Linked DNA regions of Oryzias latipes. The protein of the gene in region 1 interacts with the protein of each later gene in a pairwise test. Links are inferred from orthologs where the notes say so. Each region holds a gene or a part of one and is shown in the gene's direction. Other genes may lie near its edges. The genes, in order: wdr6, ptpn3 and g2e3.

Region 1 (2,778 bases):
AAAGTTAAAATATATTTGAGATTTACTCTTGTGTGCTTTTGCAGATTGTTTTCAGTAACTGAGTCAAAGAATCATATTGAGCTGCTGTGGGAGACGTGTCATCACCAGCGCTGTGTGCTCAGTGTCGCCACCTGCAGCCTGGAAGCTGTCAAAAATGACAGGTGAGTGGAAGCTTTTACAATTTTATACAACCTTGTATTTTGTTTTTGTTTTTTATAATTAATTCTATGACTCAATGGGTAATTATTATAGAAAAAGCTACTGTTTCCATTTACATAGCAAAGTTAGTTATTAAGTGGTAGTGAGTTGTGAAAATTATTGATTCATTATTAAATGACTCCAATACCTAGGAAGGTTTTTTTTTTCTTCCACAGAATGAATGAAATGTAAAGTGAAGAGATTAAAATTAGTGCTGGTTCTTTTAGTCCTCTGTGGGATTCTTGTGTTTGGGCTTCAGGTGTGAACACAAAATATCATGGCAATAAAACTCTTTTAGCTGTTATGAATCAAAAAAGACAATGAAGAATTCACGATGAAGTTGTTGATGTTGTTGATGATGATGTTTATTCAACCGTTTGTGAGTTTTGTCTCTGTTTTGTATTTTATTTTTTTATGAGTTGTAAAGTTTTGAGTTTGAAAATAGTTTGAAAATACAAATAAAAAAAAACTATTTTGGGAATAAAATACTGAAACAAATCGTCAAACCAGATGTTTTCCCTTGTTTAGTGGATTAAAATGTTTGAATAAAATATTGATTAGATATAAGTTAACAGTTTTTTTATTAGAAACATTTGACAAAGGATGAACCTTTTTTGTTTGCTTTTTTCCTACTGGTAGCTGAAAATAACAGTTTTTCATCATCAACAATTCTAATGAATAAAGTGTTTATAAATCTTTTGTAACAATATCTGGTTTTACATCGTTCAAAACTTGAGCTTTTTTATTTTTTCAATGACTTAAGAAGAAAACATTGCATTAATTCTAATGGTAAATTGTTGAATGTATTGTTTATATCAAAGTACTGATGTTTGAAGTCTGTATGACAGTTGATAACAAATGCGTACAGAGTTTCTCTTTGTCACGCCAATCTTCTCTCACAGGTACAAACTGCTGTTCAGTGCCGCCACAGATGGGAAAATTGCTGTTTGGCATTTAACTGGAGTTCTATCAACTGATATTTCAAGTGGTGCTACAAATCCACCAGCTCCCTGCCTCGATATTCCCGCCCACCAGAGTGGCGTCAACTCATTGGTTGTTTGGGTGGAGAAACTGGGAAAAGAAGGAGGCAGTTGCCAGGTAACTGTTGCTAGTGGAGGGGATGATGGACAGCTGACAGTGTCCACAATTAGGGTGCAGTTCCCAGGAAATGGGAAGGCTGGGGGCAGCAGAGTGTTTTCTGAGATTTCTCATTGCCAAAGCTCAGTAGAAGAACTCCAAATAGACCACAACCAGCTTCAGCTTCATCTCCTGACTCAACGCCGGATCCCACTGGCTCACGCCGCTCCTCTGACCTCCCTGAAGCTTTTGAGGACAGGCCTGCTGGTTTCCACTTCCTCAGATCAGAGGGTTTGCCTTTGGAAGGTCAGCGATGTCGGTATCAGCCACAGTGGGGCGCTGTGCTCCCACGTTGCAGATGCTGCAGCCATGGCAGTGTGGGAGGGGGAGAAAGAAGATGCAATTAGTGCGACGGGATCCGAGTCTGAGCTTGTAAATGCACTTAGTAGAAAAGAAGAGGGCCAGATGCAGCCGGAGACAAAGACGGAGAGAACTGAGGGTGGGTGGATTAGCGACGGTGAGGAAGCAGCTGGCGAACAGGAACTTGGACAACCTGCTGTAGCAGTGAAGGAGACAATCAACCCAGTTTGCAAGAATGCTGTTGACAAGGAAGAGCCCTCGACACATCACTCAAGATTAAAAACTCTGACTGACAGCTCAGGTGAAACGGTTAATGGAACAAACACTAAACGGTGCTTGAAGGTTTCCCCTGAGAGCCAAACAGGGATCATCAAAGAGGGATGGGTGCTGGTCTGCGGGCAAGGACTTCAGCTCCTGCAGGTGAGAAGTTTAGCGATGGATGGATGGAGAGAGAACCGGGATAAGAGTAACCGCAGCATCAAAGTGACTCTTCAAAAACAGCCAACATAATTGGACTATATGTTTTTTATAAAAATTAATTTGAATAAAGTGTCTCAATCTGTAAACTTTCATGACTTTGCTCTTCTTTGCCTTTGGAAGGCCGCCACAGCGAATCCCCCACTTCTTTTCCTCTGCATCCTCCTCACTCACACCAACCTCCCTCGTGTCCTCCTCATCTACATCCATGAACCTCCTCTGGTAACCTCAGCATCCCTTTACCTTCATCATCACGGTCCATCTCAATCTGCTTCCCTGCATTTATCTCCATAACATCTACCGTAAGCTGTTACTCTCATGCATTTTTTTGGATCCTTTCCATCCTCTTCACTCTCAAAGAGATCCTCACCATCTTCAGCTCTGCCTCTAAAACCACAGCATGGCTGCTCACACCACAGTCTTCTACACCTTTCCTTTCATTCTTGCTGACATTCCTTTATCACAGCTGAAACCTTCCTTTACCCAACCTTCTCACACATGCAACTTGTTCTGGACTATAAAAACTTAAAGTCCTCCACCTTCTTCAGCTCTGATCCCTGTAACCTCACTGTTCCACTTGATTCCTTCTCATGTACACAAAAAAGCGCTCGTGTTCTGTTTCTGAAAAATAAAAAGCACGCTCACTAACACACAAACATCACACAA
Region 2 (2,768 bases), on another chromosome or scaffold:
GTCATCATGCTTACAACTCTAACAGAGAGGGGACGGGTATATAACATTCTTCTTCTCAAAAACTGGAAACAGCAAAAAAAAAAAAAAGTTTATTTTTAAGGATGGGAAATGAGTAAACAATAAGGGAAACACTTGAACTCGCTCAGCTCGATTTCAGCGGCGCAGTAACTGATTACTGCAGCATGACCTGCGCATTATTACGATACGTCATGTTTGACTTGATACAAGATTATAGTAATTAGGAGTTTCACTGGGGATGTTTGCACACAAAAATGATTGATTAGCTCTTGTGTCAGTAATTACACGGTTTCAGTGTGTGAGAGCTGGATTCCAATGAGGAAAAAATGTTTTATTGGTATAAATGCATCCTTACGGAGGCTGCAAGATACCAAGGTCTTGCTGAATGTCTGTGCCTCAGCTTGCCTGTTGCTTAGTAACCAGATGTTCTCATTAATTGATCATTTTTTCTGATAATTCACCTTGCTCCATCCATAAAGACATGGTAGACTCTCATTTGTAATGTATAGATCACGACTCTAGACCCCGGTGCTGCATCTGACGAACAGGTCTTGTTCCTCAGGTTGTTAAATATGGGTTGATCTGCTCCAAGTTGAGTTGAGCTGAGCTGCTGTGAAGCGACTGCAGTAAACTGTATCCTGAAGACCGTCAATACTGTGATATGTTGTTTGCGCCACACGCTCCACAGACCAAGTGCCACCAGTACTGGCCACACCCACCGAAAGCGAAGGATTACGGGCACATGTCAGTGGAGTGTCACTCGGAGGAGTGTAACCTGGCTTATGTGACACGACGGTTCACCCTGAAACACACTCAGGTAAGCTATAGCAATGAGATTATGTGTCGCCTCCTAAATGAACCTGCAGCTGATCGATATCTATACATTAGTGTGCCTTTGAGCAAAAATATGACCCTTGCCACACGCTCAATTATTCTCCAAAACACTCACCCACATGCCATCAGGTTATGTCTATAACCACAACTGAAGTTTTGCTAACCTTTGACCTCAGAAAAAGGCCGCCATCTTGAATTTTCTATAGAAAAACACCTTTAGTACCAGTTTCATATTTAAACCCCTCCTAGAGATTGTGCATTTTTTAACTGAAATATTGTGAAAATGTAATGCATGAATCCCTGGCACAAGCTGATAATATGATAAAACATACGATGTGACTATACAAGTATTGTGGGCGTGGTTAACAAAAACCGCCGTTGCCAAGGAAATCCAAAAGTTTACTTTTGCTGGTTGTTCTAAAAATTGTATAGATCTGTTCATCACCCCCAGGTGACCCAAACATAAAATGGTTGCTGTGGAGATAAAACCAATAGAAACATCGCTATTTTGAGGAAAAAAAAACAACAGTATAATTTCATGAATTTGTCACAAGCAGTTCTGACCAGAGTGGCAGAATAATAATAATAATAATGAATTTTATTTCTATGGCGCCATTCTGGGCACCCAAAGTCACCTTACAGGTACAAACAATCAGAAAAAACAGTTACAAGAATAAAACAGTAGTTAAAAGTAAAAAAAATAAACAATAGAATCATAAATCAATTAGGGTGGATATGCAAGTCTGTAGAAGTGGGTTTTGAGAGGTTTTGCAACCTGAGGAAGAGTAAGAGACCTTGGCGGGTGGCAAGGGCAGGTAGCTCCTACAAGCCATACAACGCTGTCCGCGGCTTTGATTATTATTACTTTCTTGTCATTTATTTTGAAATCTGTCTCAGTTTACAGTTTATTTTATTATGTTTAAGTATTTTGAAATCAATTAAAGTTTCCAGCTGATTTCATGTCCATTTAAGGCGAGACCACAGACACACAATGCATTGCTTTTCTGCATTGTATGTTGCCACGGCATGTAGCATGTTTACACCATATGCCACACAACGGATCTCACCGCAGGCAGCAGCCCCTCCTGGCAAATTAACTACATCCAGCATTCAGTCACTTCCGCTGGGTTTTGTCTGCACGTGTGTGTGCGTCAAGTGTCGCTGTGTGGAGGTGTATAGGGGGCAGGTGTGTCAGGGTGTCTGGGACTTTTTATTTATTTGTTAAACTGTGTCATGGTAGGTAATCAGATTAAAAGCCCCGGCCTCTATGCCGAACAGGTAAAGAAGCAGAGAATGCTCAAGGAGGCATGAAGTATGAACGCATGCACATGCATACAAAGATACCGCCGCGCTGGCCCATCTGTTCCTCTCATGGAGCGATAATCCCTGCATGGAGTCACAGGCTACATGCCCGTTAGAAACTCTGAAGTCAGCCATTCTCCCAGCAGCCTTAAACTCCGGTCTTTTCCTCCATTCTCTCTCCTTTTGTTTTTATCTCTGGGTTTCATAATCTCTCTGTCACCTACTGATGGCATGGATGTCTAGCTCTGTTGTTCCAACCTCCTGCCTGGTTTTCAGCCCTTCTATGTGTGAAACAACATCCGTGTTTAAGCCTTTAGTGCTGCAGTGTCTCATGTGGGTAATTAACCCAACAGTAACACATTCATAATGATTATGCAACACTTTAACTATCCTGGCTTTCTGCTTCTCTTTTTTTATTTGCATGTTTGATTTGCAGTTGGGTGATGAGCGTGCGATCACACACCTGCAGTATGTGGCGTGGCCGGACCACGGCGTGCCCGATGACCCGTCAGACTTCCTGCAGTTTGTCAGCTCTGTAAGAGAGACGAGGGACAAGGAGCCGCTAATGGTCCACTGCAGGTAACATGGCGTTTAAAAGATTGATTTGGAAAAGA
Region 3 (3,761 bases), on another chromosome or scaffold:
GTGAGGGTTTGTTGACCCAAAAAAGTGATTGAAAGTAGATAAATGGAGCAGCCATGAGGTCATGCTGTGGTTCCTGTGAGAACTGCAGGCCACATGAGGAAAGCAGACAAGGTGATGTCATGTTATTTCAACACCACAGAACTCTGGCACAGAGCATGCCAGGAATAGTCCTATGGTGCAGGGACACACATGTTCATGCAGCTACAGTGACGACATAGTCATGACCTTCATGTCTCTGACCCCAAACCTGATCTCAATCAGCTGATAAATGCGTTTAGCCTTGACCTAGAATTTTACTCCCAACTAAAAATTCTAAAAGGTCACCAGGCTCTCCAAAGGTCAGTGATTCTGCAAGAACACTGGCTCTCTACTCGGACTTGTTGATTTGGCCTAGTTGGAGAGGTCCTACCTGATGAAGGTGGTCTTCCCGGTGGAGTACTGGCCCACCAGCAGCACCATGGGCTTGCTCTGGAAGTCCGCGGGCTCCAACGCCGGCGAGTGGAAGTCATGGAAGAGGTATGTCTCCTCCAGCGGCAGCAGCTTCTTGCTGTAGAGCGTCTGCAGCCCCTCCGTCACGGTCTGGTACATCTCTCCCTCCTTGTTGTGGCTGCCGTGCTCCTGCTTCACCCAGCTGAACATTGTGACGCCGCGCGCTCCAGAGCTCGAGCCCAACTTCCCGTTTTTCTCGGCGTGTACGCGTGCGCCCGTGTGGGATGGCTGACTCCGCGCGCTCTGAGTCTGGCCGTCGTCGCTGAGGTGGTGTACCTGCGGGCACCGCCCTTCCCGGTGACGCTGCGCTTCCTCCGCAGTCAGTCACCACCGGCGCGCCCCGCGGGAGCAGTCCACGGCCACTGCCGCGCCCAGGGCCCCGGGCTGCAGGTCTGCGGGAGCCGAAGGCGCTCCTGGATCAGAACCGCGTCGTTCTGACCGGAGATCATCTGCGCGCATCCCCGGCAGCTGCGCAGCAGATGTCATCCATGACGGTCAGCTGATGCTGCGACGCGGATGTTTGCAGTGAACAAACAAACCCAAACTGGACCAAAGCACCCGCTTCAAGCAGAACCAAACCACGAGAACAAACAGAATTGAATTCTATTACATTCCGGTGTGAATGCGCGTCTAAGCCGATTTTCAGAGCTTTCTTTTGGACTTTGAGCTGACTAAACTCTGCAGGAGCAACACCTCAGTCAGAACAGAACTCACCTGGTTCGGATTAACTATTCTCCTGATGATTTATAATTTCAATTTAGGAAAAGACCAGAAAATCCAACAGATTTGACAACAAGAGGAGAAAACTTCCCTCAATTTATTTAGAAAAATACACAAATTCCCCAGAATTTTACCCATATGAATAAAGTCTTTGTAAACGGACTGTGTTCTTTCATTGAAATGTTCTCTGATGGTTTCTCATTAGTGTGACGGAAGTTCACGTTTTTTTAGAAATCACACACAATTTCTATTGCTTCTAAATATATTAACACATATTTGCTTTGTTTTTTGTTGTTGTTTTTAAACACAATCTGACACCTACCTGTTGCTTTGGAATTTTCTTGACACCCCAAGGACGTTTTTCTCTTTGTCGTGGGCAGATGGCGCCACCTACAGTTAAGAAGCGTCTGTTGGAATTTTAGGAGCCTATTTACACTTTGTTTCTATGTCAACACGCTTTTAACAGAACAATACATGTGTTGTAACCTGAAGAGTAAAAAACAAACAAACAACAACACTCTATATAGGCCTATAAGTGCAATCTAATGTTTAACTAGCTATTTTTATTTAGTTTGATTTAACAGTGCAAATTGTTCACAAGCTTTTCCACAGATAACCTTCTTCCAAGAAATCCATTAAATGCAATCAAACACAAAGCATAAATTTTTTTAAATAATTTTTTAAACGGTTTATTACTTTAAAAAACTGTGTTACATCTATTTGTAGTCAAGACTCTAAAAAACGTTTAAACTTTAAATTGGAATGGAAACATGTAGCCTAAATAAGCTTTAAACTTGTGAGACAAGGTGACTAAATGAGGTTAATGTGTTTTTATGTGGAGCAAAAGTAAAAAAGTTCTTACATATTTTGCATGAAATAAAGCGTAGGTCTATTTATACTGCATGTGTAAAATTGTCTCTTGTTTGTCTCTTGTTGTAAAATTGTCTATTGTCTCAAGCTTTATTCTTGTACTTTTTGTATTAATCGATAGTTCAACTATTCTGCTTTGGTTGACAAATAAATGCCTTTTAAAATAATGTTGTTGTTTTTTTGTTTGTTTTGGTTCATTTCCGTTTTTTAATCTTCCCATTTTTTCCCATAACTTTACTTTATTAATCTAAATAAGTAAGAGATTATGTACACTCTTTGGTTAGACCGCCCTCATGTGTCGGTGCCATTGAATAGCCGGGAAACGTCACTTCCGTTTGGGGTACGAGAAACGGAAGTGAGGTTCTTTTGTTTTGAAAGAGGAAAATTCAAAATCGGACGTCGTTAAAGTAAACACAAAAATGAACGGACTACCTTTATTTTACTTGAAATGAGCAGCGAGTGATTTCTTCGACAATAGATGTAAGTAGGTTGGAGAAACAAACTTTTTTCCGGGTTTTCTTTTGTTCTTTTTCGATATTTGACATTCAAACTCGCATGTTTTTGGAATTTAGTAAGAACGCCATGAGTGGTGCTCTGTTAAAGTTATATATAAAAACACGATTTTAACAGTTTAAATTTGTGTCAGCATATTCAACACAACACATTTATATCACATAGTAAAGAAAAACTGTGAGGCTAAGGCTGAAAAAACAAACAAACAATATTTAAACAGGTTTGACGATCAGGTTAAACTTAAATTAGCATAATAGAAAGCTGTCATTGTGTATCCTAAAAAAAAAAAAAAAACAGAACAGAAGTAATAAAATGAACAAATAAATGTGTTAATATTTCAAAAATAAAAAGCATAATATCATAAGATAAGGTTATTTTTAAAGTTTTGTTGGTAAAGTATAATAAAACTAAACCATATGTGCAGCAGTAAGAAATAATTTATTATTATGTATTTTTTCAAACAAAAACTGTACAATTTTAGGTAAGAATTTACAATATGATTGTTGAAATTCACAGTTTTTGCATTAAATTCCTAACTTTTTCTTTTGCCAGAAGTTTCTCTTAATCAGATAAAATTGACGATGGATTAAAAAAAAAGAACATTAAGTTTAAACAAATGATGCTTTTAAAACTGTGAGTCAAATGTGAATCCGTTCAGTATTTGGTCGGTGATTCCAGCTGTTGTTTCTGCTCAGTCATGTGATCCGTGTCCTTTTCCTCCAACAGACTGAGTTGGTTTGAGGATGAGGAAGAAGACGAGGGGGCCGAAGGCGACCACTGTCCTGCAGGACTGTGAGTGACACACTTAAAAAAACTAACAAAAAAACTTTATTTATACAGACGAGGCCTATCAAGACCGCATTCTTCTTTTTGAGGATAATCTGTTCATGCCCACACAATTCATGTCTGCCAGATTTGTTTGTAGGATTTGCATTGATTTAATCTTTAAATTGACATAACAACTGCAACGTTTTTAGTTTGGGTTCAGCCGATGAATAATGAATAAAGCTCATTTTTAAGAATACTGCAGACATGATTATGAGTGAAATCTAAATTCCCCCAAATTAAATGATTATTTTTTATATTATCTAGTTTCAATAATTATTTAATTCTTATTTATCAAGTAAAAGATATACGCGACGGCTTTCCAAACACTGACTCTGTTTTTC

Evidence for each region.
Region 2: the proteins of wdr6 (region 1) and ptpn3 interact in binary tests that used the Homo sapiens proteins (3 or more experiments, as listed by UniProt). The two-hybrid records come from large-scale screens. The link is inferred for Oryzias latipes from reciprocal best matches to the Homo sapiens genes WDR6 and PTPN3.
Region 3: the proteins of wdr6 (region 1) and g2e3 interact in a two-hybrid assay, tested with the Homo sapiens proteins (2 studies listed by BioGRID and IntAct). The two-hybrid records come from large-scale screens. The link is inferred for Oryzias latipes from reciprocal best matches to the Homo sapiens genes WDR6 and G2E3.

What each region holds. Positions count from the first base shown.
Region 1 is NC_019865.2:6,740,211-6,742,988, forward strand, and holds the end of wdr6 (WD repeat-containing protein 6), read left to right. Parts: intron 1-44; coding exon 45-161; intron 162-1,100; coding exon 1,101-2,145; 3' UTR 2,146-2,205; downstream 2,206-2,778. UniProt on the Homo sapiens protein: Together with methyltransferase FTSJ1, methylates the 2'-O-ribose of nucleotides at position 34 of the tRNA anticodon loop of substrate tRNAs. Required for the correct positioning of the substrate tRNA for methylation.
Region 2 is NC_019874.2:17,810,212-17,812,979, reverse strand, and holds part of ptpn3 (tyrosine-protein phosphatase non-receptor type 3), read left to right. Parts: coding exon 1-36; intron 37-706; coding exon 707-835; intron 836-2,590; coding exon 2,591-2,733; intron 2,734-2,768.
Region 3 is NC_019880.2:2,556,989-2,560,749, forward strand, and holds the start of g2e3 (G2/M phase-specific E3 ubiquitin-protein ligase), read left to right. Parts: upstream 1-1,074; 5' UTR 1,075-2,563; intron 2,564-3,318; 5' UTR 3,319-3,335; coding exon 3,336-3,384; intron 3,385-3,761. Other genes in the region: EH domain-containing protein 4, read right to left, coding at 410-639. UniProt on the Homo sapiens protein: E3 ubiquitin-protein ligase which accepts ubiquitin from an E2 ubiquitin-conjugating enzyme in the form of a thioester and then directly transfers the ubiquitin to targeted substrates. Essential in early embryonic development to prevent apoptotic death.